Rattus norvegicus: one gene and its partners. The protein of the gene in region 1 purifies or fractionates together with the protein of each later gene. This does not show direct contact. Links are inferred from orthologs where the notes say so. Each region holds a gene or a part of one and is shown in the gene's direction. Other genes may lie near its edges.

Region 1 (7,408 bases):
GTTAAATTTAATAGATTAAAACAATTCCCTTTTTTCTCAATGTAGATATTTTGCAGAAAACCCTTTGTCAATTTTCTCATTTTAATGGGTCTTTAAATATCACCTTTTAAAAAAATTCATAAACTGTGACACTTTTGCTAACCCAAATCATGGCATTGTTCAGAAATTAATAAAAAACTCTTCTATGATACAAAGAATATTCTATCTATTAATTCAGGCTTCCCTTTGAATATCTTCCAGTTGGAGATGGAAAAGCTCCAGCTTCAGGCCCTTGAACAGGAGCACAAGAAGCTGGCTGCCCACCTGGAGGAAGAGAGGGGCAAGAACAAGCACGTGGTCCTGATGCTGGTGAAGGAGTGCAAGCAGCTCTCAGGCAAAGTCGTAGAGGAAGCTCAGAAGCTGGAGGAAGTCATGGTGAAATTGGAGGAGGAAAAGAAAAAGACAAGTGAGTTAGAAGACCAGCTCTCCGCTGAGAAACAGAGAAGCGCTGGAATGGAAGCTCAGCTGGAGAAACAGCTCTTTGAGTTTGATACGGAACGGGAGCAGCTGCGGGCCAAGCTGACCCGAGAAGAAGCACACACCACCGACCTCAAAGAGGAGATAGACAAGATGAAGAAAATGATGGAGCAAATGAAGAAAGGCAACGATGGGAAGCCCGGACTCTCCCTCCCCCGGAAGACAAAAGATAAGCGACTGGCTTCCATATCTGTGGCAACAGAAGGGCCTGTGACAAGGTCTGTTGCTTGCCAGACAGATGTAGTGACAGAAAGCACTGACCCTGTGAAGAAATTGCCTTTGTCTGTACCCATAAAACCTTCCACAGGGAGCCCCCTAGTTTCCACAAACACAAAAGGGAATGTGGGCCCCAGTGCCCTGCTGATTAGACCAGGTATTGATAGACAAGCTTCCCACAGTGACTTGGGTCCCTCTCCACCTACTGCCCTACCGTCAAGTGCAAGTAGAATTGAGGAAAACGGACCAAGTGCAGGCAATGCCCCTGACCTATCAAACAGCACACCCTCAACTCCTAGTGGAACTGCCCCTGCTGCTGCTCAGACACTAGGTGCAGCACCCCAGAACCATTCACAAGCTCCTCCTGTGCACAGTTTACATTCACCGTGTGCCAACACTCATCCAGGTCTCAACCCACGCATCCAAGCAGCTAGATTTAGATTTCAGGGCAATGCAAATGACCCAGACCAGAATGGAAATAACACTCAAAGTCCTCCCTCCAGAGATGTTTCTCCTACGAGTCGTGACAACCTAGTAGCCAAGCAGCTAGCTCGGAATACTGTGACCCAAGCGCTGTCCAGATTTACCAGCCCTCAAGCAGGTGCTTCTTCAAGGCTGGGAGCATCTCCAGGAGGCGATGCTGGCACCTGCCCTCCAGTTGGTCGAACCGGTTTAAAGACTCCAGGGGCAGCACGAGTTGACAGAGGAAATCCTCCTCCTATCCCTCCCAAAAAGCCAGGGCTCTCCCAAACTCCTTCTCCACCACACCCTCAACTGAGGGCCTCCAATGCAGGGGCCAAAGTTGATAACAAAATTGTGGCTTCACCTCCCTCTACATTGCCACAAGGGACCAAGGTAGTAAATGAGGAGAACGTCCCTAAGTCATCCTCCCCTCAGCTGCCACCAAAACCATCCATAGATTTAACTGTGGCATCTGCAGGCTGTCCCGTTTCGGCCCTGGCCACGTCTCAGGTGGGTGCCTGGCCTGCTGAAACCCCTGGACTGAACCAACCCGCATGTACAGACAGCTCCCTTGTCATTCCCACCACCGTTGCCTTTCGCTCTTCCATAAACCCTGTTAGTGCCTCATCCCGTAGCCCCGGTGCCTCAGACAGCCTCTTGGTAACAGCATCAGGTAAAGGGATTAAAGTCTTATACCCTTTTGTAAAGAATGTGGCCTATTCTATGACCTGTCTTAATTTCTTTCATATTGTCTTGAGACATTTTTAATACTCCGGTTGTCCACTTCCTCATATTCATATTCTCTCTCTCTCTCTCTCTCTCTCTCTCTCTCTCTCTCTCTCTCTCTCTCTCTCTTCCCCCCCCTCCTCCTCCCCTCTCATTTTCAAAATTATTTTGTAATTTTCTTTAAGGCTCTCGGGTGATGGTGAATCATCTGGCTCTATGAATTGTGGTTTCATCATTCTAAGTGCTTTTCTTGAAAATAACCTGAAAATAGTGGTTAGAAGTCCATGAAGACCATTAATTTAGAGAGACTGAAACATTTCCAGGGCAGAAAAGAGTATCCCTTCCTATTAAATATTTATCTCGCAAGACCTCAATATTAATGGATCATCCTCAGTGTGCTTTCAATTTGCTCCTTTTAGGATGGCCTAAGAAAAACCCTTCCAAGTCACTGTTTGTATAACTCTGGATTAGCAGGTTAATGGGGGTTTATTCTGTAATTAATAGATTCTGAAGGTTCATATCAGTTTGGTATGAATGTCCCTTTCTTACCCTCAACAAAAGACCATGAATATTTATAAATCTCAGTTAAAGCTTAGCTCATTTTGAATGACATGTACCTCATTTGATAAGTATTGTCTCCCAACACACAAGCCCAGATGGCTTCCACACCACATGGGACATTACAATTCACATTGCATGAGTGCCTTATGAAGTTGCTCAGTCTAGGAGGTCCCTCAAAGGACTAGATATTGTTGTTGTGTGTGGTTATGAAAGCATTGCTTTTTCATTATCAAGGCAAAAGTAAATTCATGCTCAGACCTAAAGTTCTGGAGTAGTTTGTGCTGCCCTCATCAGACATCAGGGATTGGTAGATCCTATTGGCTCTAAAAGAGCAGGGATTTCAAATCGAAAGGGAAATTTCAGTAGCATCACATTTAAAACTTAAAGCATGTAGCACAGACTGCAGTTCTAAAGCTGGCCGCCAGGGAAGGAGCTAAGTGCTTCAGATTGCCCGACTGCATGCCTCTAATTCAAGCGGTTTCCATTGAACTGCAGTGTTGGGGAAGTTTTTATTTTTGAGGGCAAAATTGAGAATCCAGAAACATCACGCACTTTGGAGGTATAGATCGGCATTAGAGATGAGGCCACATTGTCTATAACTGTGGTTTCGATGATCTTTTTCACCATGAGCAAGTATTCTCTGCCTTAAGTTGGAGTTTATAGTGCTCAGAGGGAAGGTGGCTAGAGGGAGGTTCAGAGAGCATAACATATCAAGGCATGGCACTGAACATGCGGCCGCATGGCTAATCCACGCCTGACTGGTACTGTTGCTTATAGCACTTTTGAGAGTTTGCTTTAGAATTTATTGTCATTTTGTGATGTTATAGGCATTTGAGGTTCCATAGGGGTTTTTTCTCTGACTGTATTGAGTGTGATATGGCTTGATATTGCTTGGAATTATGTTGGCTTTCCTAATAGTTAAACCTACCCTAAGGAGAGGGGCATTTGGTACCGTTCAGAACAATCCAACATGGACCCTAAGATCTGTAGACTGTTAGAAAGCATTGGCTCCAGAGTCATTTGGAGCCGTGACTGTGCTCTGATGTAACTGTATAGACTGTGTGTAGGCAACATTTCCCAGAGCAAATGAATGTCATCAGCTGGTTTTGTTTTTAAGTATAAAGCTATCTGTTTTTTGATACCTTGAGGCTCTGCCAGCTGGTGCCTCGGTAGGCACCATAAGTCTGAGTCCAGCTGCACACACCCTCTAGTAGTCAACAGAGAAGCTTTAAAACAAGCTTGTGTGACTGCGGGAGAAGTTAAGTTTTAAAAGATGACTAACTTCTAATCTGTTAAATATTTGCCCAAACAGCTGTTTTGTATTCAGTGGGATTCTGGATAAAAGAAGCCAGGACTCTTAAAAAAAAACAAAGCAAAACAAACAAACAAACAAAAAACCTTTTACTCATATCTGAGGTGCCAAGGGGAGTTGAATGAGATTTTGATGAAGCGACAGCCATTGAAGATATGTAATGTCAGTTCCTTGTTTTCCGATTTTCAACCTTCTAGTTTGGCCATAGTGTTCCCAGAACTGTAGGGTGATGCCCTTTGATGGAATAGCAGGCTTCTGTCTGATTGATTATAAAGTGTGCATCTTCAGGGCAGAAGGGTGGCACCGGAGGTCTAAGTCCCTTAGCAGGTGTTCAGTCGGTGCCTCCTTATGTGCTCTGATGGCACAAATGTTAGAATGAAGCCTGCTTGTATAATTACAGAACTCAATTGCGGGTGAAGGCCACCCTTAGCCTCCCAAATTAGTTAGCATTTTACCCACATTGCATTTAGTTGGTTCCAGTTCTCCTTTTTTAAGGATTATTTTGGTGGGGATCACATCCACAGCCTGATGTGTGCTAGGTGAGTGCTCCACTACTGAGCTACACTGCAGCCTTTGCCACACCAGCACCCGTTCTTCTTGGCAGCACCCGAGCTCCCTGCATCCTGCTCCTTAACCTGGCTGTGCCTGAGTGAGCTTGTTCCTCTTCAGCTCAGAAGCCCATAGGAGGTCATCAACTTTCCCCTGGCACCACTGGGGTTGCTAGGAATGACGCCCAGGAACCGAGTGTACCTGCCAGATGCCTTGCTCCCATTTCTTTGATCATGTGAGCAAGCATTGAGCTGAGTTTCAAAGGGCAAACTTAGCTCATTTCTGCCCTTTTGTAGTTATAATCCTGGGGAGGAATTACTTGTAAGCTATTAGCTTTGTCATCTACACCTTAAACTCTTGAACCCAAAATTAAGGCTATTTCCCAACTGAAGGATGTTCTGACTTATCCTCGTGTTGGAGACTCTTTATTCCTCTTTGCCCTGGAACCTGGGATCTTTCTCTTGAGATGCCCTGTGTCCCTGCCACCTCTGTCTGTAACAGTGAGGTGAAATCCCAGTGAAAAGCCGGAGTGGCAGAGGGGTCTCATTTTAATGGGTTGCGTTCTAAAGTACGCTAACCAGAGGTGACCTCATAACAAATCATGAACTCTTAAAATAGTGTTTTAAATTGTAAATGAATTAGAAATTCTTACCAATTTGTCAAATGAATATATAATATATAATGTATAATATACACATATATTTATATATTATATATGATATATTCCAATGGTTACATGAAGAAGGTTAAAATAGGAATCACTCCAGGCAACTGAATCCCCAAACCTTTGCAAATTTTTCTGTTTCCCTTCCTTCCTTCCTTCCTTCCTTCCTTCCTTCCTTCCTTCCTTCCTTCCTCTCTTTCTTCTTTGTGATTGTTTTTCTTGTTGATATTATTTATTTTATTACTATTATTTATTTTATGAATTCCATTTCATTTGGTTCAGACTTTTTTCCTTCCTTAAAGATATTTTCTAAAGTATACTCGTGTATGATTGGCTTGAATGCTAAATCGCAAAATCAGAATGGTCTGGGCTGTGACCTTAACCCTCTCCACCCTCTGAAGCTGGTGCCAGAAGCTGTTCTCAGCTCCTTTTCCTCTGCCCTTGCATGTCCCCATGTTTTGTGGCCTGCTATGCAAATCCTCACCTTTACTAGCGTTTGCCTACAATGCCGTGTAGCCGAATGACTTTCTAACACCTGTAGAGTAGCTGTGTGGACTCGGGTTTATTCTGTCCTTAACTAATCCAGTTAATCACATATTACCATTTCTCTCATGGCTGAGAATTTCAGATGAATACTAATGTTTAGTGAGGTCTTTCTTTTAATTCCAACATATAAGTAACAGGAGTTCTTAAAATAAATTGTATTGGGAGAAAACTGGAAATTATAGTAAAAAAATAACATTTGTTTAAATTTAAGAGCTTAAAGTTTACAATATTTTCAAAACGTTTTCTTTTGTGAAGATTTAGAGACCATTTTTTTTCAGTCCTCCAAAGAAACTGATACTGCTTTCTTTGAATCTGACTGGAAAAGCAACAACACTTCATGACCTTATGATTAATAACATTTTTGAATAAAGCCTTTTACTGCTCTCAAGTGGGGTCTTCCAGAAAATTATACACATAATTGAATATTTCCATATAAACCCATATAAAACAATTGGAAATGTGAATTTGTATTGTCTCTTACAAAGCCTAGAACTGTGGTTTAAACTAAAAGATGAGCAAACTTTAGTATGTACACATTGGTATTCATGGAAGACTGTCAAGAACCTAGATTCCTTGAATGAGATGTAAAGAAGAGATGAGTGTGTGTGCACGCATGTGTACAGATGTGCGTGTGTGTATGCATGTGTGCATGTACATGTGTGCCTGTGTGCATGAGTGCGGTGTGTGTGTGTGTGTATGTGTGTGTGTGTGTGCACGCGCGCGCAGATGTTTGCGTGGGTGCATGAGTGTGTGTATGCATGTGTACAGGTATGTATGTGTGTATGAGTGTGTGTGTACATGAGTATGTATGTGTGTGTGTTTATAGCATGAAGCAGACCCCCCCATCCCTGTTCTGCTGGGGACGGTAGTGTAATGCTTTCTTATTGCTTGTTAATTACAGTCAAGGTGTCCTACCTTGGTGTTTATAATTTTCTGTCTATCATCCATTTCTAATAAGTACTGATTTAATTTTTGTGGGCCTGTTTTTTTTGTTTGTTTGTTTTTAAGAAAATACAAAAGGTAAAATGTACCAGAGAGGAGCCTTCTTGTAAGTATGAAGTAAAAATACTACTTTTCTAAGAAGACCTAATCAATATGGATGGGAAAATATAAAGATTTGAGAAATATTGAATTTTATAAACATTTTAATTGTCTGTCATTGCTGTCCTGATATGATAAAACAATAAGTAATCCGTGGATTCAAATTATTAGTTGTAAAGATATAATTTTGAGATTCAATCTTCCATGGATTTCTATTGGCATAAATGGCCTCTCTGACTTATTTTTATAAAGAATTTTCAATATTCAGAGGAGTTTCTTTGATATGTACTTTAAATATATCCTGAAAGAAGTAAAGCCAAAAACTTGTGATTAATCATAAGAATTGAATATTACATTCATATTAGTGTAACTGATACTGATAGCTATATAGCTATTCCCCATGGAAAGTCTGCATGAAGAATATATATGTGTAGTTATGTACAGAACTGCTGAAAAGTACTGGGGCTCACTCAATGTATTTAACCCGAAAGGACATAATTATCAATTAAATAAACATGTGTACTTTACTGTTTTTACAGCCTTTTGATCAAGGAAGGATTCAGAAAATTTTCCAGGCTATATGCAGCCGACTTCACACTCTTAACAGATTCTCTTCTAAAACTGCTAAATACTGATGAGAAAACTAACCATGATCATCTTGCAATCTTTGTTTAAAGCTGTGTGGTAGAGCACCCTGCTTTGTTGGCCAATCTCAAGTTTGTTAGTCCTGCAGTGAAGATGGCGAGAGGTGGCCGTTTTCAAAGTTTTCAGAGTTACTGAACTATGTTCTGTCGTACAATACAGCCATTTATATA
Region 2 (7,937 bases), on another chromosome or scaffold:
AAAAATTTAAATTCATTCTCCTATATAACCTCACAGTTATTTTGTAAGACAAATGTTATGCTTTAATAACAACCGAGAGAACTGGGCCAGTGAGAAGGCTCAGCGGGTAGAGGTACTATGACATACGTCCTGAGTTCCATCCCCAGAGACCCACATGCTGAAAGAAGAGAACTTACTCCATAAGTTATTCTCTGACCTCCACACATCGGCAGCACGCACGTGCGAGTGAGCACACCACACACACACACACACACACACACACACACACACACACACACCGCCCTTCACCCCACACACCAGTTTTAGAATCTAACTCATAGAGTAGGAAAATATGGGATCCAGGGGCCTTATTAAAGCAGAAGAACCTTAAAACTTTTTAAAATGTACTGATTTCTGTTAAACTACCAACAAAATATTACCACACACGGATCTTCTAAAGGAAGTTTAATAATCCCATTTTAGTATGACTCTTAGTATTTTTGACTTGTTGGATATTATTTCCATAATATGTACGTCAATACTATTCTGATTGCTCTCAAAAGCAAAGAAAGTATGGAATAACAAATTTGAATATGAATGAAAAGAATTCTCCAGTACGTATCCGTAGTAGTCCAGGATGCCTATACTTTTGGGAAGTGTGCAAGCGTAGTATGTGTATGTGTGTGTGCGTGCATGAAATCCATGAGTATTCCTTCACTGCTCCCCAGCTTTTTTGAATTTGTTTGTTTGTTTGCTTGTTTGTAAATAGTCAGGAATCCCTCACTGAACCTAGAGTTCACCTGTTTGGCCAGATTGGCCAGTCACTTATCTCCATGGGTTCACCTGCCTCTGCACCCTGTCATCTCCCAGTGCTGAGTTACAGGTCATTGCCTGCCTTTGTGGTTTATGTGAGTGCTGTGGGTCCACACTCAGTTTCTCACGCTTACATGGCAAGCGCCTTGTTATCTATACATTTCATTATATTCGATAGTCTTTGTTTGTGAATCAGTTTAAGGCAGTGATCTTGTCTGACATGTCTTCTATTAGAGGAAAAAAATTGATTTTGAACATCTGAGATTATAAAGTTACTTAAATCCCTCAGATGACAAAGTTCCATTCTTAGCCAGGTAGTGGTGGCACATTTCTTTAATCACAGCACTTGGGAGACAAAGGCCAGTGGATCTCAATTGGAGGCCAGCCTGGTCTACAGAGCAAGTGCCAAGACAGCCAGGACTACACAGAGAAACCCCGTCTCAAAAATTCAAGAAACAAAAACAGAGGAAGAAAGGATAGGAAAAAAAGAAAGAAAAAATTTCTCTTCATGTTTCCGTGGCTCTGATAGATAAAAGAGAGTAATCAACCTGTTTTTAATTTACTAATTAAAATTTAAATTAGGTGGATAGAGGAATAGATAAGTAAATAATTTTGGGGGTTGGGGAGCAGCCCTGGCTGTCCTAGAACTCACTCACTCTGTACACTAGGCTGGCCTTGAGCTCTGAAATCTGCTTCTCTCTGCTTGCCTCTGTCTCTGGGGTGTGCCACCATGTCTGGCTCAACTTTTTTTAAGGTCACTGAGCTAACAGGCAGGTAATCTGGGTGTAGTTTTGGCAGTCATCGGTCACTCAAGGACTCATTGAGGACAGCCTCAGTCTCTTGAGCTGTGAATGAGAGACTCAGGCAAAGAACGTTTAGAGCCAAACAAATTTATGACACGAGGAAATTGGCCAGGCCTGGATCAACTTTTTATGATAATAAAGAATGGATTCAGAGAGCAGAAACATTCAGTAACTGAGTGAAGAGGGCTTTGCCATGGCTATTTGCAACCAGAGCAGATACAATGTGTTTCCTGTCCTTTTCACATGTTGCCATGGGAAGAAGGGGAGCAGAGAGGACAGAGACAGGATGCCCTTCCTTTGCAAGTCACTCACCAGCTTATATCTTTTTTTTTTCATGTCCATCAGATCAAAACAAAATTACAATTTTTTGTTACAATGACAACTAAATAATTGCTTAATTTGGGTTTTCATTTCTTAAATGTTCTTCAGGCACCTTCCTTTCTCGGGTTGGTGTAGTGTAAATTTATAGTGATAATTTTATCAGGGAGCTCAGAGAGGGAAAACACTGCCAAGTCACTTAGAAGGAAAGGATTCTGGTGTGCCTTTGGTGTAAAGATCAGTTGCCCAAGAAATTGGGAAAGCAACAAGTGGGAAGGGAAGGTTCCAGGGTATTCAGGAGTGCAGTGGAGCAAAAAGGGACTTTGTTCCTTCCGAGTGTAGCCCTTAGGGCTCTGTGACTCTACATGTATGTCAATCTCCTTTTGATGACAAGAACTATGACATCTATCTTTATATTCCTGGCACGGAATATAACTGACAATAAGATACTTGTCCAAGCGAATTGAGTGAAAACTGCCGCAAAGATGGGGAAAATGAGATTGAACAGGCAGCACTTGTTACTGGAGATCTAAAACTTTTGCAGAATTTACCGGCAGGATTACTACAGAGAAAGGGGCTTTTATACCAATACTTCAGACTAAGTGTTAAACTAGAAATTAGAAGAAGCCCCCCACGGCAAATGTTGAACTTTTGCAGAAAGATAGAGGTCCAGAGTGCCTAAGGGAAAACTGGTCTGTTAACAAGCACTGAGCCCCTCAGGAGATGAAAGGCAGGCTCGGTGACAACCCTTAGTCCAGGGGTGTTGAGGCTTTGATGAACCCCCAAATGGGCGACGAAGGGGCAGACGACCGGATGATTTGCCCAGAGCCTATTTCCTAACAAAGCGACCAGGAAGCCCTAAACTAAGTGCAGCTGGGGCTGGTACTTGGCTTGATAACTTCCGCGTGTGAGTATGCAACAGGGAGCGCCGCCCGCGAACTTCCGCATGAAAGGGGCCAGCCGCGGCGCGACCCTAGGGGCATCGGCTGGCTACACCTCTGAGGAGGAAACCCGCGCAGCCCCGAGGGGAGGGCGTGGCAAGGAAAGGGCGTGGCTTCAGTCCCGCCTCCGAGAGACGCAGGCCTACAGGCAAGCAGGGTTCGCCACGCCCCAGGACTACATTTCCCGGCAAGCCCCGCGGGCCGCAGTTGACCCACTTCCCGGCCCGTCACGGGCTCGCCCGGCCCCCGCGCCCGGGCGGCTGCTCCCTGCTGACTGGGGTGTGGGCGGGGAGCGGCGGAGGGAGGAGGCAGAGCTGGCCGCCGCAGTTTGCCGCCGCTGCTGGGCGCCTAGGCAGAGCTCCCCGGGGTTCGTGCGGCCGCCATGGACGAGCAGGCGGGGCCCGGCGTCTTCTTCAGCAACAACCATCCGGGAGCTGGCGGTGCTAAGGGGCTCGGGCCTCTGGCGGAGGCTGCAGCGGCGGGAGACGGAGCGGCTGCGGCGGGGGCGGCCCGAGCTCAGTACAGCCTCCCGGGGATCTTGCACTTCCTGCAGCACGAATGGGCCCGCTTCGAGGTGGAGAGAGCCCAGTGGGAGGTGGAGCGGGCGGAGTTGCAGGTAAAGACCCTCCCGGCCTGGCGGTCTTCATCCCGCCTCTTCTCTCTCTTCTGCCCCGCCCCGGACCCTTCACCCCCTCCCCCAGTCCGCTTGCGTCCCCTCCCCCTTGCCTGGCTCCCATCACTTCCAGAATCTCATCCCCCTTCCTCCAGTCACCTTTGACTTTTCTGCTCCCACTTCCTTGAGCCTGTTTTCCCACTCCTTCTGATCCATTTACCCTCCCGGCGCCTTTTTGTCGGCTGTTTCCCACTCTCAACTCCCGTGCTTGCTTGTTGTTTCCACTGTTTGCCATGCCACATCTTGGGTTGCCTGTCCCTTTCGGTTTACTGATTGGATTGACAGTAGTTTTGAGAGACTCCGAGCAAATCATCCTGGCTCCACATGACGCACCCTAGGTCTAGAGACATTCCCCGCAAAAGGTTTTGGCAGTTGACTACTACTCACTCACTCTGCAAGAAAGGTGACCAGAGACAGCAACATAAGTTGTATCAGCGAGGCCTTGGCTTTCCGCGAGAAACTGACGTAGGGCTAGGGTGTTACAAGCAGTATCAGCTTTATGTCTGAAAGTGTTTCCCTTTCTGCCCTTTCACCCCATCCCGCATTTGGTTTGGATTCATAGGTTTCAATGCAGGGACTGCAATCTGACTGAAGGGAGCCAGAAAATGGGCAGAGGTGGGACACCTTTTTACAGAATCTAAAACTTCCCAAGAGTTGGTTTTTATGGTCAGTGCTTTGCAAGCCTGACATGTACTTTAAAGGGAACTGAAGGGGCCTCAGTGCTACATCGCCCCCTTTCATAACCTGCAAGGTAAAGAAAGTATGCCTATCTGAGAGGAGCTGTTGTGGGCCAGAGAAGGATGAAAGGTTGACACTTCACTGGCCATTCTGAGTTGGTAAGTAGGTTTTCTCTGACTGTTTATAAAACTTCCAACACACACACACACACACACACACACACACACACACATACACACACACACACTAATTTCCAGAGGAACTTCGAGAGCTGTGAATTGTTGTGCCTCTCTGTTTTATGGGCTAAGCCTATATGCTTATGAAATTTAAGTACAGTTTTAGTTTGTGAAGCACTTGAAGTGTGTTCCTTTTTTTGGTCCCTTTTTTTTTTTTTGGCACAAAAAAAATTAAAGAGAAAGAAACATGCTGAAGAGACTCAATTGCAGATGCATCCTGCTTTGGTGAGGCGCATGTGGCCACAGAAGGAGCAAACAGGCAAGGTTATAGTAAATAGGTCTCTGATAAAGGCTATGCTTGCGTCCAGCTCTGTGACCTTGAGGATATTCTGTGACCTCTCTGGGCTTCAGTTTCATCCTTTACTTATTCAGCACATGGCTCAGGCCTGGTTGAATGCCTGCCTTGTGTATTCAGACTCCAGCCAACGAAACTGGAAAAGCTGCTGCCCCCTTCATGGAGATTCTGTTTTAGGCAGAAGGCGAACAGTCAGTGGATAAAGCTGTGTGAAATAGCCTATAGTTGGGCTCTTCGAGGGAAAGTAAGAATATAGGAGTATAGTCACTTCTTGGGAGGTGGGTATGGGCAATCGAATGAAGTAAGGTAGTGGCCTGTATGGTTTCTTCTGTTTCTGCAGTTATGTGGTTTGTGTTCTTTGCTGACTTTTTAATACCTACTGTTAGGTATAAGTCTGTTTGATATTTGTAAGTCTTGTAGTGATGGCTGATCTCGTACCCAACCAAGTGACTGAGAGTACACAAAAAGTCTGGTGCTTTGACATTTACCTTCCCTGGCAATGCATTCTGCAGATGAACTTATGGAGGGGTTCAGGTCAAGGGCCAACTCTCACACATGGTTGCTGGAAATGATTTTTGTTTGTTTCTGCTTAAATTTTAGCATATTTTATAGTTTAGGGAATGTAGAACAAATGACACCTATCTGGTAAAAACGAGCAATAAGACAATGTTTGCCTTCCTGTGTGTAGGTATGGGGATTTACGGACTAGCCTATGTTTGCTCATTCTCTGAGGCTTCAATTTTAAAGTTAATTAGTCTTTAATTTTTACACACACATCCAGATTAACTTCAGGTAAGATTCCTGTTGTTGCTTATGTTAAGAACACTACTTAATTTTTTTTTTAAATAGCGTCTTTTGATTTATGTTCCAGAAAGTTTTTTTAAAAAAATCATAGAATTTTTTTTATAAATAAAATAAATATTATTATCACAGGGTTTGCAATAATACATGGTCTTTGTACCATTCGCAGAATTACAATTTTTAAAAATCATGTACTTTTAGGTCAACATTAAATTTGATTTTCCCTTTCTGTACCATTGGGCTTTTCCTGGCGGGGGGGGGGGGGGACAAACAGTATAAAGTAAAAGAGTTAAATGAGTTGCAATGACACATACCTGTGTCCTTTTAATTTTTAAAACTCTTCCGAAGCCATTAACACCAAAGTCAACAGAAGTGCCTTTAAGGTTCAGTCTCATTTGTCCCTACAGGAACCTGTCAGTCCTGCTCCTTCAAGTTGTCAGGGGTGAGTTGTGAAAGGCAGCCCAAGTTCTCATCTGTCTGGGCAGCCTGTGTCACTTCCTCCCTCCTGCAGATGCTGGGAAGGAGAAAGGAGTCATATCAATCAAAACATTTTTTTTTTTTAATTTCCTTTTCCTCCTCTCCCATGTTAGTTAATGGATCATCCCCCCACCAACCATGAGAATTGATGATTCACAAGAGAACAGAGATTATCAAGGTATTACTGAGTTTTGTGTTTGAAAAAGGAATTGAAAGAATAATATTTGAAAGGTTTTTTTTTTTTTTCACGTATGAGACATGGTGCCCGAGACCCCAAAGAACCTTGCATCCTAATCAGTATGGGGGAGATTGACTTTCTTAGAACAGCCTGAGAAGATTCAGCAGTAAATGTGGAAAGTCGGGAAGTAATCACAACCCTAGGCTTAGTCATTTGAAAGTTACCTTCAGAAAAGCAAACAGGTAATAGAGTGACCGTAGATTTTGATGATATACAGGTGGAAGGAGGAGGCTGTGGTTCTGTCTACGTGGGAGTGGTAGAATTGTTTAGATCAACTAGTAGAGGGCATGTGGTATAGAGGCTCTGGGCTGGAGTGTTTATGAATCTAGATCTTGGCACCAATGATTTGTATCTCATTTAGCAAATATTTTTCAAGTATATACTTCATGCCAGGTCCTGTTTTAGGCATGGAGAAGATATAAGATCTTATCTCGTGAAATTTAAATGATAGGGTCAGATAAACAGTGAATACCTGCTACATTGCAAAGTCTTACATGCTCTGCTAAAGTAAAGGGATAGGAAGAAGTCATCATAGATTGAGAGTTAGCGAGCAGAATCCTTCCAAGGCCGTACCTGAGAGTTAAAACAGCCAAGAGAAGGGAGGGTGCTTAGAATATCACGGGGACAACAATGGGGCAAGTGTGGCCAGAGTGGAGGAGGAGTGGAAGAAATGATGCCGAGGAAGATACTGATCCTGCTTCCTGTAAAGACTTTGAATTTTGGCTGCATCTGGTGGCACAGGCCTGTAATCTCTGCTACTTGGCAGACATAGGGTGAGAGACATCACAAGTTGAAGGCTGGTCTGGGTTACAGAAGGAATTAAAGGGTAGCGTGGACTCTTAGTAGGTCTAGCTTCAAATGCAAAGTGAAAAGAAGACTGAGACCAGAGCTCCGAGGTAGAGGGTTTGCTCAGAGTATGCAGGGCTCTATGTCCAACCCCCAGTACCAAGAAAATAACCACCGCTGGGCTTCACTTCTGCAGATTGGGCAACCATTGGAATGTATTGAAAAAAGGAGCATCTTTAAAACGAACCCTTAGCAGGAGTTGAGAATATGCCCCAGGAGGTGGGAAAGAAGAAGCAGGAAGGGTGTTTAGGAGTCTGTATAAATTAATTAAGGCCTGAGTTGAGAGGTAGTGGTGGGTTTTTTTGCATGTACAGTTTGTTTATGTATCATTAAAACATAGTAGGTTCTGAACACAGGAAGACAGCTCACTAGTCAGTGTGCCACGCGCGCATGGGTAGGATGTGAGTGTGAGGAAAAGGGGACTGAAACAATTCAGCACTTCAGTCCTGCATACCTTCGAAGGATAGCTGAGATCCACTGAGCACATAAATGGAAGATGTAGGAACTTAAAAACGATTGCGTTTCGTTAATTACAGCAGTTATTTTACGTATCACAAAATGCAACAATGACAGACCTGTTAATAAATCTATACTCTAAGCTCACTGTTATATTTCATGCCTATAAAACATATGCCAAAAATATGACCTGTCAGAGCCTTAAGTTACCTTGTGAGAATTAAGTGAGATCGTTTTTAAGTCTCCAGTAGGTGCCTGGTCTGTAAATCAAGTGAATGGTAGCAACACACGAGGTCACTTTTTCTCCTGTTTATTGCCTCCAAGAAAATGCCAATCTTCAATCTTTTTTTTTTTTTTTGGTTCTTTTTTTCGGAGCTGGGGAC
Region 3 (8,166 bases), on another chromosome or scaffold:
GAAGGAAGGAAGGAAGGACAGTAAGAACAGCAAAATGAAAAAGACCCTTGACTGTTTTACCTTCATGTATCTCTTCAGCGCCTTATAGCATGAATCCAAATATTCCTGTCACTGGATGGTAAGCGTCAAGAATACCAGGTACTCTGGTTTAATATATTCCAACAATGAATACAATTCTGACATTGTATCACATTGCCACTACACTTTGCACATTTCATATATTTCAACAGAGACATTAGGCAGAAAATGTGAAAGTTCATAACATGAGCCCCTTTCTTTAAACTTTGTGGACTAAAGGCTCACATTTTGTCTTGATGAATTATTGTGTTCAGAAGCTCTTAGGTAATGCCTGGCACATTTGAACATGTTTAGTGACTATATTTTAAACAAACCAATATTTTCCATAAATGACTCTGTTTGATATCACATTGAGCTAAAATATGCAAGTCTCCTGTGGGGGGAGTGGGGCTCGTAATAGTTATTTTCCTTGCCATTACATTAACTCTTTGGGAAAAGGTGGTTTATGGTACAAGGGTAGCATAATAATATTTAGTTGTTTCTAGGACCCACTTGACATGACCTCATAATTATATTTTATTACAGGCAGAGCACTGGACTAAATATACCAAAGAACACTGATTCCCAGGCATGCTACTCCATTAGCAGTTCCTCTATCAAAGGTCGTACAACACAGTCCGCCAAGCTTTGGCCCACTGACATTTTGAGTTAGATACTGCTTTGTTGTAGGCATTGTTGTGGATATCCCTCACCTCTACCAACTAGAGAGTAGTAGCAAGGCCCTCACTCTTTATTAAACCAAAATGTGCGATCTATCCGAGGTAAAACTTGCTCCTAGCTATAGACATACATATTTGCTATGAATCAGTCAGCCCACTAATTACATTAAATGTGGGGAAAGTTCAATATTTAATATTGAAGTTATGATAAATATCAAGAAATCCAATCCATAGATGTTAAATTTTATTTATTTATTTTTGCATCTCTGTGTGTGATTTTGGGCCTGCACGTGCGATACCGTGCATATGGAGACAGCTCATTTTCTCATTTCACTATATAGTGCTAGGGATTGAACTGGTGCCGATTGATGTTCAATTTAATTTTGTTTTAATTTGGAGGGTTTGTGGATACTAACATGGAATTCATTTTCTTCATGAATTCTGCATATAGTCTTAATTTCTCTAGTTGCTAAACATTCATAATTACCTGTGGTAATGGACTATACAGGCTGAGTTTCCCTAATCTGTAAATTTCAAATCCAAAATGCTCTGAAGTGTGAAAATTTTTGAATGTCAACCTGAGGTTCAAAAGTTTTATATTTTCATGTTCAGGGTGTCAGCTCTTAAGAGTTCATATCAATAACTCCATATTTGAAAAACTCTGAAATCTGAAACACTTCTCTCAAGCAGTCAGATGCGAGACACTCAACCTGTATTATTAGTATTAAAACAGTCAACCATTCTCTCTCTCTCTCTCTCTCTCTCTCTCTCTCTCTCTCTCTCTCTTTCTGTGTGTGTGTGTGTGTGTGTGTGTGTGTATGTGTGTGTGTGTACGTGTGCGCGCGCATGTGCATGAAGTCAGGAAAGTCATTTCTTCACTTGTTTAGAGTTCATTTGTTTACTAAATCCACACAACACTCTCTTAGGTAGTTATGAAGTTACAACTGGGAAGAACACAGCAGGCCAAAAGTGAATTGAATAACATAAACAAGGGACCATGTTGAAGGTTAACCAAGAGCAGTGCCTGTGAGTCTAACCTGACAACAATACAATAAAATATAATATCCCCAATATATACCTAATATCATCAAAGAATACCAAGGAAGTGCATTTGCTTATCAACAAATATTTATTGAGGACCCACTTTGTGGCACAGAACATTCTAGACTCTGAGAATAACCCTAATAGCAAACATGGTCCTCAGAAAGATATCGTTCTTCCAGAATAATTCTCATAGAAGAGAAGCTGGGTCTCTGGCTGGCTTCAGTGAGCAAATAAATGGCGTACAATTCCTAAAATACAAAGACAGAGCAACCCTGTAAATGTTTCCACATGCACACAGCCCAGTTTTGAAAATGAGCACAGGGCAGGTGCACATTGGCTGGTGGGTCTGAGAACCTTCAGTGGACATGCTTGAGGTGGGTCTTTAATGATGGAGCTTGATTCACATCGTACTAACTCAAAAAAAAAAAAAAAACCCACCCTTAGAATCACTATCTGCTTCATCCTCTCAGACCTTGTTCACAGTGCAAAGTCTTGGGTTCACTCCACACTTACAGGTTCAAAATCTTCAGAATAAGAATAAAAAATAGTTTTCCTTAAAAAAAAAATCCTTTCAGCCCAGCATGGTGGCACATGCCTTCAGTCCCAACATTCAGAAGGCAAAGGGAGACAGATCTCTGTGAGTTTGAGGCCAGCTTTTTCTGCATAATGAGTTCCAATCAAGGCAGGGCTACATAGCAAGACCATGTCTCAACCAAACAAAATAAGTAAGTAAGTAAGTAAACAAGCAAACAAGCAAACTCCCTTGAGGTCTCTATGAACATTAAAGTTTTGGTGGCACGGTATGTGTCTGGGTAGGCTAGGACATACAGTGACTTGAGCTGGTGAGAAATAGATACTAGATCTGGGCCTACCATTGGGAAGAACAGAGAATGCCAAGACTTGGGGGACTGTGAGTAAGGTAAAGTCAATGCCATCATTTAATATCTTTCTTCCATATAATAGAAGGTAGCAAGTGTCAGGGGGACCCAGACTGAACGTCTCAGATGCATTGCTTTTTAATTGCAATATTTGAGTCAAATATTTACTTGGCTGAACCTTTTGCTCTAGTTGTTCAATGGGGAGAAAGAAGTGTGACCCAAGTGATCTCTTGTCACAATAACTCTTTACAAAACACAGTGCATAAATTTTGGGCTCTCTGTCACAACAAAAAAGAAATCTATTAATAATAATCATGTTGATAATAACCAGATACTTTTCTTGGAGAAAAAAAATTATAAAAGAAAAATAATGTTTCCTGAGTGTGCCTTGGTTGCATAGGCTTCTAACAAACTTCAAGGTGAGTTCTCATTTTAAACGTGCATTTTGTCCTGTAACCTCATTAGCCCCTGTGTGTTCATATAGATGCTTCCCTGAGATTCCTGTGACTGGTATTATCACTGCCACTGTTGTGTTATTGGGTCCTCGAGAAAGGGTATGCCTCACTCCTGGAGTTGGACTTAAATTGGAAGAACGCAGGGAGTTGCAGAAGTCAAGGCGTTGTATGCTAAATTCAACTATCTATACTACAAAAGATTTAGTCTCATGCTCCTTGCGTCTGTAATCATTGTTAAGTTTTCTGCCGATACATGATCCCTTTTCCAATTTGTTTCTTTCACACGCGCAGAAATTGTGAGAAATTTCAGCCAGGCCATTCCACAACTGACAGCCTAAGGTAAGAACAGACTCAGGTTAAACTAACTTGAGGTTTGTCTAGGGGCAAGGAAGCTGAAAATTGCAAGAGAGAAGTAACTTAGGCACGAAAGAGCAGGTGTCTGGCTTGGTGGCCCCACCCTTGGCCAGGTGGGGGAGCCAAGCAAACTTTTGCAACTCCAGACCTCTGGGCGGCTACAAGCACCCTAGCCTCCCAAGCCTGTCTGCAACGTGGCCGTGTTCGTTCATCTGGGTCGCCCTCATATCCCCCACCCCACTCTCGCTCCCGCAAACTCTTCTGTTCTTTCTCCAGGACCAGTTATGTTCCAGGTTTTTCGATCCCGGCCTTCTGTTGCTCTCCGCAACCCCTGAGAGCCCCATGCTTCGCCAACTCTGACTACTTTAGCCAACCCGGTTTGCAGCTTGAAGCCTCAGCTCCCCTGACACCGCCCGGCAGCGGGGTGGAGGCAGGGCCAACTGCGGAACCGCCCCCGGCCGCCTCCCAGCCTAGGCGTTCGGGCGGGTTGCTGGGGCGCCTCCACCTCCTCTTCCTAAAGCGGCGAGGCGCAGCAGAGCCGCATCACTGGAGCCCAGGTCCCAGCCACTGCCGCACGCACAGCTCTGCATTCAGGAAGAGGAGCGGCACCGCAACTGTCCGAAAGCTAGGCGGGCGAGCGTCAGAGAGGTAAACTGAGTCCGGGAGAGCAGCGCCGCGAACCGCTCACCTCCCCGCAAGGAGGGCGCAGTGGGGGAGTGGAGGCTGCAAGCACCAGCCCACTAACTCCACTTCTCTGCGTCCCTCCAGGCCCCGATCGAGAAGCCTGGGAGAGCTGCAGAGCTACCCCCGTAGGAGGAGCCAGTCTGTGCCCCAGGAGCCACCACCGCAGAAGCAGCGCGAAGTAGCAGCCGCCTCCATGGCCCACTCACCGGTGGCTGTTCAAGTGCCCGGGATGCAGGTGAGGAAGCCCAGGCCTTCCCTGCCGCCCACGTGACTGCCCCAGAGCCCCGCTTTGGGCACGGGGCACCGGGGGACCAGGGGCAGCCACGGAGCAAACCTGAAGGCAGGGCCGGATCTCTCACCAGGTGACCCCTAAGTGAAGCTCGAGGTGTTTTCTGGCGTCCTGGCTAGAAGGTGTTTTGCTTGGGAGAGATTGGGGTGACCGAGAAGCAACAGAAAATGGGGGTTGGGGTTGGCGCGCGGGGGTGAGGAAGGGGGGGCACGTACAAAAATAGGCCAGAACCTTAGGCACCTGTACTTGTTGGCTTGTTAATCGTGGCACAGTTGAGGACTCAGAGTGGGGGAGTCCCAGAACTTAACCTAGTTGAGATGAAGGCATCTTGGACTATGTGGGTTAAAACACCCAAGCAGTGCCCCACACGGTACACACAGAAGTTGGGGCGGAGCGAGACCAGGAGTGGTGGTGGCATTGAGTTGGGTGCTTCCTATGTGCAAAGGGAGAAGAGCAAGATGACTTCTTTTTCCCTTTCGGTGCCATTTACAAGCAAACTTCTATGTCACTCCCCTACCTAGCCCAGTGGGCAGTGCTATGAGGAATGTGGCATCCTGTTCTGAGGTGAGGACTGCTCAGGCCCTTCGCCTTGTCTGTCTGCTAAGGTGGTTGGTATTTAAGCTTTTGTTCATTGCAAAGGAAAAAGTGTGGGACCCAACTTCTTACTCAAAGGCTATGCAGTTCTCCTTCCACTATATTATCATTTCATTAAAGAAAAGTTATGTCAACAAATGTTTTACACATCTCGTTTTTTTAACCACTCTAACATTTTAAAGCATTTACTTGTGGGGTACCCCCCATGGTCACCTAAACAACCCTTTATAAGTAATAGATTAGAGGCTAAAAACACTAAAAATGGGTTCCTTATGATATTCTAAATATGCTAAGTCAAATGAATTATTTCAAGTTATAATTATAATGTCGAGAGCCCTGCATAGCCTATGCTTTTATTAGGAATCAAAACGTGGTAGATTGGAGTCTCAGCCTCCTGCCTCGTGCATGGATTCCATCGTTTGCCTTGGAAATTGGTCTCATTTTTATTCATGATAACAAAGGTGATTTTTAAAATATCCTTTCTCCTCAAAGGGGCCATGTGTACATCTATCCTGCGTTTAAGGACAGGTCTGGGTTGAGACTCAAGAAGGGGAAGGAAAGCAGTGAAAAGGAGAGTTGGGCTTTTAATGGCATTAACCCATTTAAGTTTTTCCTAGGGTCCCAAAGTTTTTTTGCTCATGCACTCTCATTCTCTGGCTCTCTTTTCCATAGCTACTCTGTCCCACACCCCATTCATTCAGTGCTAGCTTTGCCTGTATCTGGACAAGTAGTAGTTTGCAATAGGAACTTTTGCTCTGATCTGGAACAGCATGTGAGCATTTCCCTTTGTGCACAGCTTTCTATTATGTGGAGAAGTCGAAGTTTACATATGGTTGCTGCTTGAGGGCTCCATGCTTCTCTCTCCATTGTGAGCAGGCGCCTGCCTGCCTGCAGCCACACTGGTGCATCTCCTTCATCAACTTTGTGCGATTCTGGGGAACTCTGTGTGCTCAGGAGAAAAGAGTTTCTGCTCTTTATTTCATTTGCCCTGACTTTATTTGATTTATGTGGTTTCTGGTCTTTATTTAATTTGTTCTGACTTTATTTGATTGAGATGGTTTGCGAACTGCTCGCTGTTCAGCATTGGCGTATGGCTCGCTGCTTTGTTTAATTATGTGAGCTGGCTATCTCTTGGAGGTTTAGATCTTAATTAAGGTGGGTTGAAGTGTGAATCACAGATTTGGAATCATCAACTTTGCCTTGCGTCGTATGCTTTCCCAAAGTTGTTCATTTGTCAAGCAAGCCTTAGCGATACAGGGGTACTCATCTCACACCTAGCAAAGATTATTGATTATTGTTCTGCCACTTTTCCTCTAAGTGAAATAGCACATTCTCCAATTATTTTCATTTCTATTTCTAGATGTAGTTCTTAAGCACTTGCTGTGACCTTTACAAAAAACACAACTTTTCCATTTTTAAAATTATACAGGGACCTAAAACACATTTATAGCATGCAGTGTGACCCTTGAGCCTAAAGTAGGTTTGTTTCCTTTTCCAAAAACTATAATGTAAAAATATATTCTGAGATCATAATAGCTTCCTAGAGTTTTGTTAGAGTTAGGAGCAAGCAACTTTTAGGTTGTTTAACTAGCAAGAAAACTTGATTTTGCCATGTGTTCTTTAAATTAATGTTTCCCCAAGTCACGGTGAAGTGATTGACTGGCCCATACATTTTTAACTGTTTATGTTGGAGAGTTATGAAGATTGATGGGAAAAAATGAGTTTTCCAGAAATTAAAGGGGAAAATGACTTTCTCCACAATGTTTTCCTCCCTCTGAGCAGAGATGCAGTGCATAAACAGAGCTACCTGCTGTCTCACCCAAGTCTTCAGCATTGCTTACTTTCAAACAAAGACATTCTTGTTGCCACTAGTTTAAAATGTAAAAGAAAGTTGCAGTGAAGGAAGAAACCCCAGGACTTGGTCCAATTCAAACTCATCCTTGTGAAATTAGTTCCTCAAAACATATATTGTTGATATTTCTCAATGCTGTACTGAACATTTTTGCCCTACTACACCCAATGTCGAGGACATGATTTTTTTTGTATTTAATTTGTGTATATTTCATGTTTATAATGAAAGGGATTTTCCATTCAAGGAGCTTTTCTCTTGAACCACATTTAAAGTACAACCTTAACAAGGTAATAAACCAATAAACTGTCTTTCCACCCAAATCTTTACTCTTTAGTGATTTAAAATCTGTTTTTGACTTTGAAGTTGTCAGTTAAAAATATTTGAAAGTTTATTTCCCTTAAAGCTTAACATTAGTGTTTTAAAATAAATATTTACATATTTGTCATTTTCAATCTTTCCTAACATTTAGGTAAGAGAAAAAGTTAGATGTTCAACCAAATTTAAAATGTTATTGTGTTTCGTATGCTTTACATGGTATGTACTAGTAAAGAAACATTTTTTGCTTAAAAGAATTCTAAAATTATCTCTCTTATACCTTTAACTGTGAAAAGGGTGGTACAGCTTAGCAATGCTTGTTTGAGATCTCAGTGGAAGTGAAGTTTTAGTATTAAGAAACACTTTATTGAAGACTTTTAGCAAGGAGTAAAAATATTATCTGACATTGGTGAACTTAGTAAAAGGTTCCAGGAAGGACCAATAGAGAGATCTATGATCTGTGCTTAAACAACTATCAAGTCTGTGACCTTACGTCTGTAAGTATCAAAAGAGTGTCTGACTAGCAGAGTTGAAGGTTTCTAGAAGGTCAAAGTGTTAGGATTTGAGGTAGGTATTTCCACATAAAGAAACCTTACATGTATAGACAAGGGCTTGCCTGCATGTTTAAGCACACATACACATACACACATACACACATATACACAGTCTTTGAAAACAGAATAAAACCACTTAAGGGATTATGAAATATTCCATGAGAGAAATAATAAGTAATAACTTTGGAAAGCTAGAGTGGAGGCCTTTAAATGCAAGGGAAGGATTTTAGCCTTTGAAATGGCCATTGAACCTTTCTGTATAACGGACAAAATAAACAAAGTCCTGCATAGGAAAATTCCTTATTGGATGAGTGAAGGTACTGGAAAGGTATAGTATTTAAGACAGTTTGATCTATGCAGATTAACAGGCTGCCTTCCATATCCTTGGGTGCCATAAGGAAAAAGACATC
Region 4 (7,408 bases), on another chromosome or scaffold:
AGGAAGAGAGAGAGAGAGAGAGAGAGAGAGATGGAAAGGGCAGATTCAATCAATCAAAGCAGAATGCAGAATAATTTGTATTATATGGAGAGTTAAGGAGATTTGTGTCAAAGTAAAGGATGGAATAGAAAAACACATGAAGCGTGTGTAAGGTTAAGTGGATGATCTTAGGAGTCTTTATTCGAGAAGAACGAAGTACTTGGCAGTGCTGATGGAGGAAGCAGTAGAGTAGATGATAATTTAATTGGTGGTATTCAGATTTGATAGACAGTAAATGGGCATGAAGATTATTAAAAAATTGAGTCTAACATAGTCTAGTAAATTTAAAGGAAATTTAAGGGAAAATTATTTTATAAAATATAACTTTTTTCCTCTTTATAAGTTGTAGAATTATTAATATTTGATTGCAGAGTTTTAACTGCAGTAGTCACAAGTCAGAAAGTTATAAAGAAGACTTGTGTGTGAGAAAGATTTTCTTTCTTTCACATTGAATTACCTGGTTGTTGGATATCCAGTCAGCATTGCTTTTTCTTTTGTTTTTTTCATTTGTTTAGAGAATTTATGATTGCATCACTGGCAAGGAAAAAATGCTCAAGTCACAGTTTCTCCATTATAATTCTTTTGGAAAATTTAGAGGATATCATATATTGCACACATTAAAAAATTGACTTTTTTTTAACCATTTTTAGTTAGGGACTACTATAAAATAATGTGCAAATTTTCATTTATTTCCATTCTATACTGGCCTCCAGTTGCCTCTCATTCTATTTATCCATAGATATCTATTTATCCATAGATAAATGAATTTCCTGTGGGCTACCTGATCTTCAAATACCTGCCGGTGATTTTAATCACAAAGCAGCCTTGTTTAGTGAGCTCATTAGTGTTCATACTGATGAATATGAGGACATGATGTTTGACCTTGAATTTATTTTCATTCCTTTTATGCTGATTTTAAATGCTTTTTTTCCCCTAAATTTTCTTTGACATGGTTAAAACTAAGTTTCATCTTGTGTAACTCATATTTTAAAAGTATACTATGTAACTCAGTTATGTAATTCATAGTAAAAGAGTATACCATAACTGGTATGTATATACTCTTTGAGTTTTGTGTTATCTAGGCCTTAGTTGAAATTATTTTTTAAATTTATGGCCTATGACAGTGCTGACTTTTTCTGTCATTACACGAATTTCAAAGAACTCAAGGAAAAATCTGTTTCTAATTTGGGAAAGTGAAAATTTGAGGTAAATAATTCTAAGAAACAACTTTTAACAAGTTGGGTTAAATTGTGAATGACATTCATTCACAATTGGGGACATTCCCCAATATGGTGGGAAAATACTCATAAAAACAACAGGGAAAGTTAATTGTTTGTTGCACCCTCATAAAAGCCATTTTGTATGTATTTCTTTGACTTTTAAAAACAATGATTTACATTGAAAGGCCCATGTTTTGTTTTATGGACTAGTAAATCTCAGCTTTAAATACTAACTTTTTCCATTGATTTAATAGCATTTTCTATGGCTGAACTTACAGAATTTAAGTTGAGTGATAGAAAGAAGTTTTTCTCTCCCCCTCTATATGTTTCAAATACAGTGTTACTTATTACTGATCTATCCAGTATCCACAAAGCCACAAAATTGTGACTGTACAACATATTTAAATGTTTTCAGAATATTTTAGAAAATTGTGTATAAGATGATATTTAATAGCTTGGACTTCTTAAAAGCCTGTTTTGTTAGTAAGTTGCTTTAGTAAGGCTGCCAGCAAGTCAGGCGGTAGCTATTAAATGAACCTCTACTGCTGACGTTAATTTACAGGGGTCAACAGGACAAACCTCTGCGACATGATAACTGATCTGGGAGATGATGAGCTGCCCCACATCCCTTCAGGAATCATTAATCAGTCTAGGTCAGCCTCTACTAGAATGACTGATCATGAAGGTTCAAGAGCAGAGGAAGGTACAGCATTTAGCTATCGTGTTTGTTTGTATTGCTGAGTTCCTTAACTCCAAACCACCTCTTTATATTGCAAACGTGCTATTCTCTAGAATGCTAAAGATCATCCACGTGATCATTAGAGGTGTTGGGCAAGCTCTTGGTATAATTGCTTAGGGATGAAATGTGTCTTCGAGTTTTTTATATTTGTTTTTGTTTTCATTTTAGATGTAGTGGTTTCCATCATAGGTTAGTTCCGAGTACCTTCCTTAAATCTAACTTCACCCTACAATCTACTATTAAGAAAAGAACAATTTAATAAATAGACTTTAAAAAATACAGGTGGGGAGAAAACTAATTCTTCATAGTGTGGCTCAAATGTAGCAGCTGTTAATAAGTACCACTTAATAGGAATGCTAGGAAGTGTAATGTATTTCTTATATATTAGTCCTAAAAGTAGATGTAACTGTTAGGATCATATTAGGATAAGAAACATCATTTTTCAACTTGGTAGCAAGTATTCATGACCTAGTAAAAGATTTCTAAAATTTATCTAAGCCAGAAGTACATAGGGAGTAAAAATATTACCTAAGAATGTTTTGAAACTGATTTTACCTAAAGATACATGGATATAGTATAATTCTAGGTGATGATATACTTCTAAATAATCTCAGTTTTAGTCCAGATTACTTTAATATATGACACATGTATGATAACATATTAGTAATTTTATGTAGGTAGGTTTATTTTTACCTATGCTTGCAGGGTGATTTGTTCATTCTTTTCAAATTTTTACATACATTTTGCCCTAAGTTTTTCTGGGCATATTTTCTTACAGTGAAGCTTAACAATTTTGTATTTTTCATGATTTATGACTTCTTACCTTTTTTAATTCACAGAATTTTAAGGAAATATTTTTTTTAAATAATGTAATAAAACTAATAGTAAAGAATGGAAATTAAAATAACTTTGATTCTCCCCCCCCACCCCCCGTACTTTCCAGTAAAGTATGTTCTTTTTCTCTTTTCTAAAATACAGATACTAGCTCTACCATTTTTATTGTTTGGATTTGGGATTTTCTTTTTCTGAGTAATGTGTAATGTTTTTTACTAAAGTTTTTTTTTTAATTTATATTTTAGATTGCCTTTTTTTTTTCAGTTTAAGGAAAAGTCAGATTAACGATATGAACCCTTTTTAACCTTTAATTCCAATTTAGGGAAAAGCCAGTAGGTTTATTCTGTATAAAAGCCATGAAGGGCTCTCTCTGTGTGTTTGTCAAGTGTGTGAGTGTGTTTTTAAGAAGAAAATAAGTTGCTAACCTCTGTCATAGTGAGGGTAAAGGGGCCGGACTGACCTTCATTTTAAAAGAGTGATTCTCATAGCCTATTTTAGTGACTTTGTCAACAAAAAATTTGGTGCCTTTGGAAAAAAAAATACATGTTACATTTCAGTTATAAAGAACAAATCCCTGTTCTCTAATATTACAACATTTTAAACTATTGAAAACCAAATTACATTCTGTATTGTCACCAGCAAGACTGGCATCAGTCATTGGCCTGCATGTTCTTTAGGTTTGATAAAATTGGAGAAAAGGGGCTGGGAATGTATCTCAGTGGCAGAGTGTTTGTCTAACAATGTTACACACATACACACACACACACACACACACACATACACACACACACACACACGTCACTGCAAGAAAAAGGAGGAGTTTGACAAGAGCTAGAGGTTTCCTTCTTGGTCATGCTGTCTGTCAAAAGGAGAACTAGTTACAGGACTCTTAAAAAGGACCTTTTTGAAAGATTCTATTTTATAACCCCTAGGATTCTCATGAAAGACAATTCTGCTTAATAAAAATTTCTATAATTAAAATAAAACGTAGGTCCCAGTGCTTAGAACACAGAGACAGGAGGATCTCTGTGAGTTTGAAGCTGTCCTGTTCTATATAGCAAGCTCCAGGTTGACTAGGACTGTATAGACCGACCCTGTCTAAAAATAAATAAAATAAAAGTACAATAAAATATTCATTTAATAATTTCATTTAAATTTGTTGATTATATCGTTATGCTATATACTGTTATAGGTGATTATACATGAACTTAAAATGATTTGTAAAATAGACATTAATTCTTTCAGCAGTGATATTAGAACAAAAAATTAAGAATTTAGTGTGATTGCTTCATGCTGCAATGATGGGTGATAGAGCAGAAATAATGATGTAAAATATCTATTTGCATAGAGACGTAAATAAGTATTAAAAGTAGTATCGTTTACTAGATATAAACAAATATGTATATCTATATAGGAAGGGTGCAGAAATGTAGTTTACATTACTAATTTTAGAAATGAGTATAATATTTTTTTGTTAAATAACCTAGCTAAAGTTGTTGAACCACTTTTCTTCTTGTGCCTGGAAGCTGGTCAGTGTTTGATTCCCACAAAAAGAATTTATTAAAAAATGAGTTGATTTGTGATGGTAAAGTTTTTTATTGAGCTTTTAAGTTTGTGTTAGTGAATACTTGTATAGTTAGTGAAGGGAAGTGTAGCATCTGTCTTAAATTATTTTAGAAACAAATTATGAACTTAAATAAGTTTTTGTACTGGTAAAAATTATAAAGTAAAATTTGATTACTGATTTTAATGTAATTCTTAAACTATTGATCTTACCGTTCTTAGCTGCTTCTTACATTATCAGTAACTATGTACTAATATTGATAGAGATGAGTGCTACGTGCTGTTCATATTCAAGTATAACCATTGAATGATGGCTTAACAACTGCAGGAACTGACAAGTGGTTTAAATGTATGAGATATTTAGCATCTTAACACACATACTGTATATTATTTGAAGTGTTTTCAAATTAGGGTAGTTGCTGAATTATACCTTTATTTAATGAACCACTTGAGTCTGGAAACTATCAAATAAAATCTTAAAAATTCTAAATTAACAAATTTACCTTGGTAATAGTATATATGAGTTGAATGAATTATTTTCAGAATTATTAGTAAATTAGTATTAGTATATTTCATTACACCTGTTACCTGTAGTTATTAAATAGATGCTATTTTGTAGGCATTTTTCATAATTCATTAGCATGAGTTTTTTAAAAGTATTTTTTAAAGTTCCTGAATTTTAAATGTTTAGGTTGACTCATTTTATAATTATTTCTTTCCTGCCACCTTAATGTTTCTATTATGATTTCAAAGCACATACTTAATTATATTGAGAATTGCTGCTTATACTTTGAATTGTCTTGTTACAGTTAGTTATTCAAATGATGGTAGTTGAATTCACACTGTGGTATCGGTATAGAAGGTATAACCATTCACGAGAGAACGAGATGAGGTGACTAAGCAAAGTAAAGCTTTCCTTTCATTCTCACCCAAACTTAATGTCAGTGGGGTTTTTTTTGTATTGTTTTGTTTTGTTTTTTTTGTTTTTGTTTTTGTTTTTGTTTTTTGTTTTTTTACTTTAGCAACATCATAATAAATAAAAGAGGGCATTAAAGTGAAGCCATAGTAAGAGCTTTAAAGTCAGCAGGTGTCCCCTTTAGGACACTTTAAATTAGTAGTCATTGTTTTCTACACTGTAACTGGCACTGATGAGTGGTATGGCAGTGTCTGCAAACTGTCATGTCTCAGTGTTCTTGGACTTCTTCAGAAACTAAAAGGACGATTTAGCAGTCACATATTGACTTAAAAAAAAATACTGTATGAGCTGACCCAAGGTTGATAGACATTTGTTTACCAGAAGTGACTGAAATCTGATTATTTAATCAAAACTGTCCAGTTACAGTTTACCAAAGTTGTGAGGGATCTAAATAGATACATTTTTTGTGTTCAGCCTCCACTTTGGGATAATATATATACAGTTTATGTTCAATTTATGGACGATAACTACTACATTGTAGTTTGAATACATTTGTTTATTTCTACTCAGTAATAGGGTTTTTTGTGTGTGGAAATGGGAAGTAGAATTCATAATATTGCTGAATTTTTAACTGTTTCGTGCTTAAATTCCCCACAATATTGTATTGTCCTGTATGATTTTTCAGCATTTAAGAAGCGGTTTTGTTCTTTATAGCTGAACCAATAACGTTTCCATCTGGAGGAGGCAAGTCATTTATTATGGGTTCTGATGATGTTTTGTTAAGTGTACTGGGCCTTGGAGACCTTGCAGACTTGACGGTAACAAATGATGCAGACTATAGTTATGATGTAAGTGCAGTTTTATTTTTAATTTTTTACTGATTTAATAGAAGGCTCCTTATTCTTTGGAATCATTTGTAAAAGAGAATTAATGTCAAGGTGCATGGAAAAGATAAGTGTGTTGATATGTTGATTTGCAATAACGTACTTTTGCTGTAATTTTTTTGTGGTGTTTAAATCTTAGAAATTTTGGTGGATTAGGTAGAAGTTACTACTTCAAAATATTGGTTGATAAATCCATCTTGAGTTGTTAACTCTTATTAATTCAGTTGAAGCCATATTTTGGTATTAACAAAATAGGTGCTGTAGAAATCAGGGTTTTGCTGTCAGGATAAGTCTTAAAAGCCATGTTTTGTTTTTGAGTTTTGTTTTTCAGTTACCATAAAGTTAGCTTTTATCATTTCCTGAATGTTTAACTTCACTTAAGGGCTACAAAAAGGAGATAGGAAGAACTTGATTAATATTAGACTGGTGCTTGTCAAATATTTTCTGAGCATAAACATTCAACTGAAAGCTATTTGTTTAGATTTTTTTACATTTACTTTAGTTTTTCAGCAAATTTCTTTTTTAAACGTTTAAAAAAATTATACTTACATTAGGATGACTTTTTAAAGCTATCTGCCTTAATTTTTGAATCATTTTCAGCTAAACTGTAGTAAACTTTTAACTGCTTTTAGAACTGGTTTTATAGCCTATCTTTTCTGATGTCGAGATGAAGGTAAAAAGACTAACCTTTATTAGTCTCGAGAATTAGGAACAGTGCTTATCTAGCATGCCCAAATCCCTGGGTTTGATCTCCAGCACCACATAAACCGTGCAGGGTAGGCAATGCTGTAATCCTTGAATTTGGGAGAGAGAATCAGGAGGATGGTAATTTCAGGGTAACTACATAGTGCGTTCAAGGCCAGTGTGGATGACAGAAGACTCTTCTTAAGAGGAAACAAACAAACAAACAAAAAAAATAGGAAAACATTCTTAAAGCGTTTTTGTTTTTAGTTTATTGTTTCAAAAGTTCCTTAACTTTCTGCCTTGAAATTCTTTATGTGCTGGTCAATTTTGTAAGTGGAAACTACTGTGTTTACTGTACCCTTGAGTATTGGGTAATTTATATTCCTGTTCTGCTTTCATGTAAATTATTATGGCAGTGGCAATTTTCTGTTCTCATCTTAACATTTGGTAGGAGCTTTGGATTTAGATTGATAATTAGGAGCTTTTCATTTGATCTAGGTATTTGAAAGTCTTAACAAAATAACTTTTC

The links.
Region 2: the proteins of Cttnbp2 (region 1) and Strn purify together in Homo sapiens (affinity purification with mass spectrometry; 3 studies listed by BioGRID and IntAct, with this or other methods). This does not show direct contact. The link is inferred for Rattus norvegicus from reciprocal best matches to the Homo sapiens genes CTTNBP2 and STRN.
Region 3: the proteins of Cttnbp2 (region 1) and Stk26 purify together in Homo sapiens (affinity purification with mass spectrometry; 4 studies listed by BioGRID and IntAct, with this or other methods). This does not show direct contact. The link is inferred for Rattus norvegicus from reciprocal best matches to the Homo sapiens genes CTTNBP2 and STK26.
Region 4: the proteins of Cttnbp2 (region 1) and Strn3 purify together in Homo sapiens (affinity purification with mass spectrometry; 4 studies listed by BioGRID and IntAct, with this or other methods). This does not show direct contact. The link is inferred for Rattus norvegicus from reciprocal best matches to the Homo sapiens genes CTTNBP2 and STRN3.

The regions. Positions count from the first base shown.
Region 1 is NC_086022.1:47,837,401-47,844,808, reverse strand, and holds part of Cttnbp2 (cortactin-binding protein 2), read left to right. Parts: intron 1-240; coding exon 241-1,867; intron 1,868-6,560; coding exon of another isoform or gene 6,561-6,600; intron 6,601-7,408. UniProt on the Homo sapiens protein: Regulates the dendritic spine distribution of CTTN/cortactin in hippocampal neurons, and thus controls dendritic spinogenesis and dendritic spine maintenance.
Region 2 is NC_086024.1:22,084,317-22,092,253, forward strand, and holds the start of Strn (striatin), read left to right. Parts: upstream 1-3,192; 5' UTR 3,193-3,236; coding exon 3,237-3,470; intron 3,471-7,937. UniProt on the Homo sapiens protein: Calmodulin-binding scaffolding protein which is the center of the striatin-interacting phosphatase and kinase (STRIPAK) complexes.
Region 3 is NC_086039.1:135,205,376-135,213,541, forward strand, and holds the start of Stk26 (serine/threonine-protein kinase 26), read left to right. Parts: upstream 1-4,116; intron 4,117-4,236; coding exon of another isoform or gene 4,237-4,345; coding exon 4,346-4,387; intron 4,388-8,166. UniProt on the Homo sapiens protein: Serine/threonine-protein kinase that acts as a mediator of cell growth. Modulates apoptosis. In association with STK24 negatively regulates Golgi reorientation in polarized cell migration upon RHO activation.
Region 4 is NC_086024.1:74,804,844-74,812,251, reverse strand, and holds part of Strn3 (striatin-3), read left to right. Parts: intron 1-1,821; coding exon 1,822-1,962; intron 1,963-6,025; coding exon 6,026-6,159; intron 6,160-7,408. UniProt on the Homo sapiens protein: Calmodulin-binding scaffolding protein which is the center of the striatin-interacting phosphatase and kinase (STRIPAK) complexes.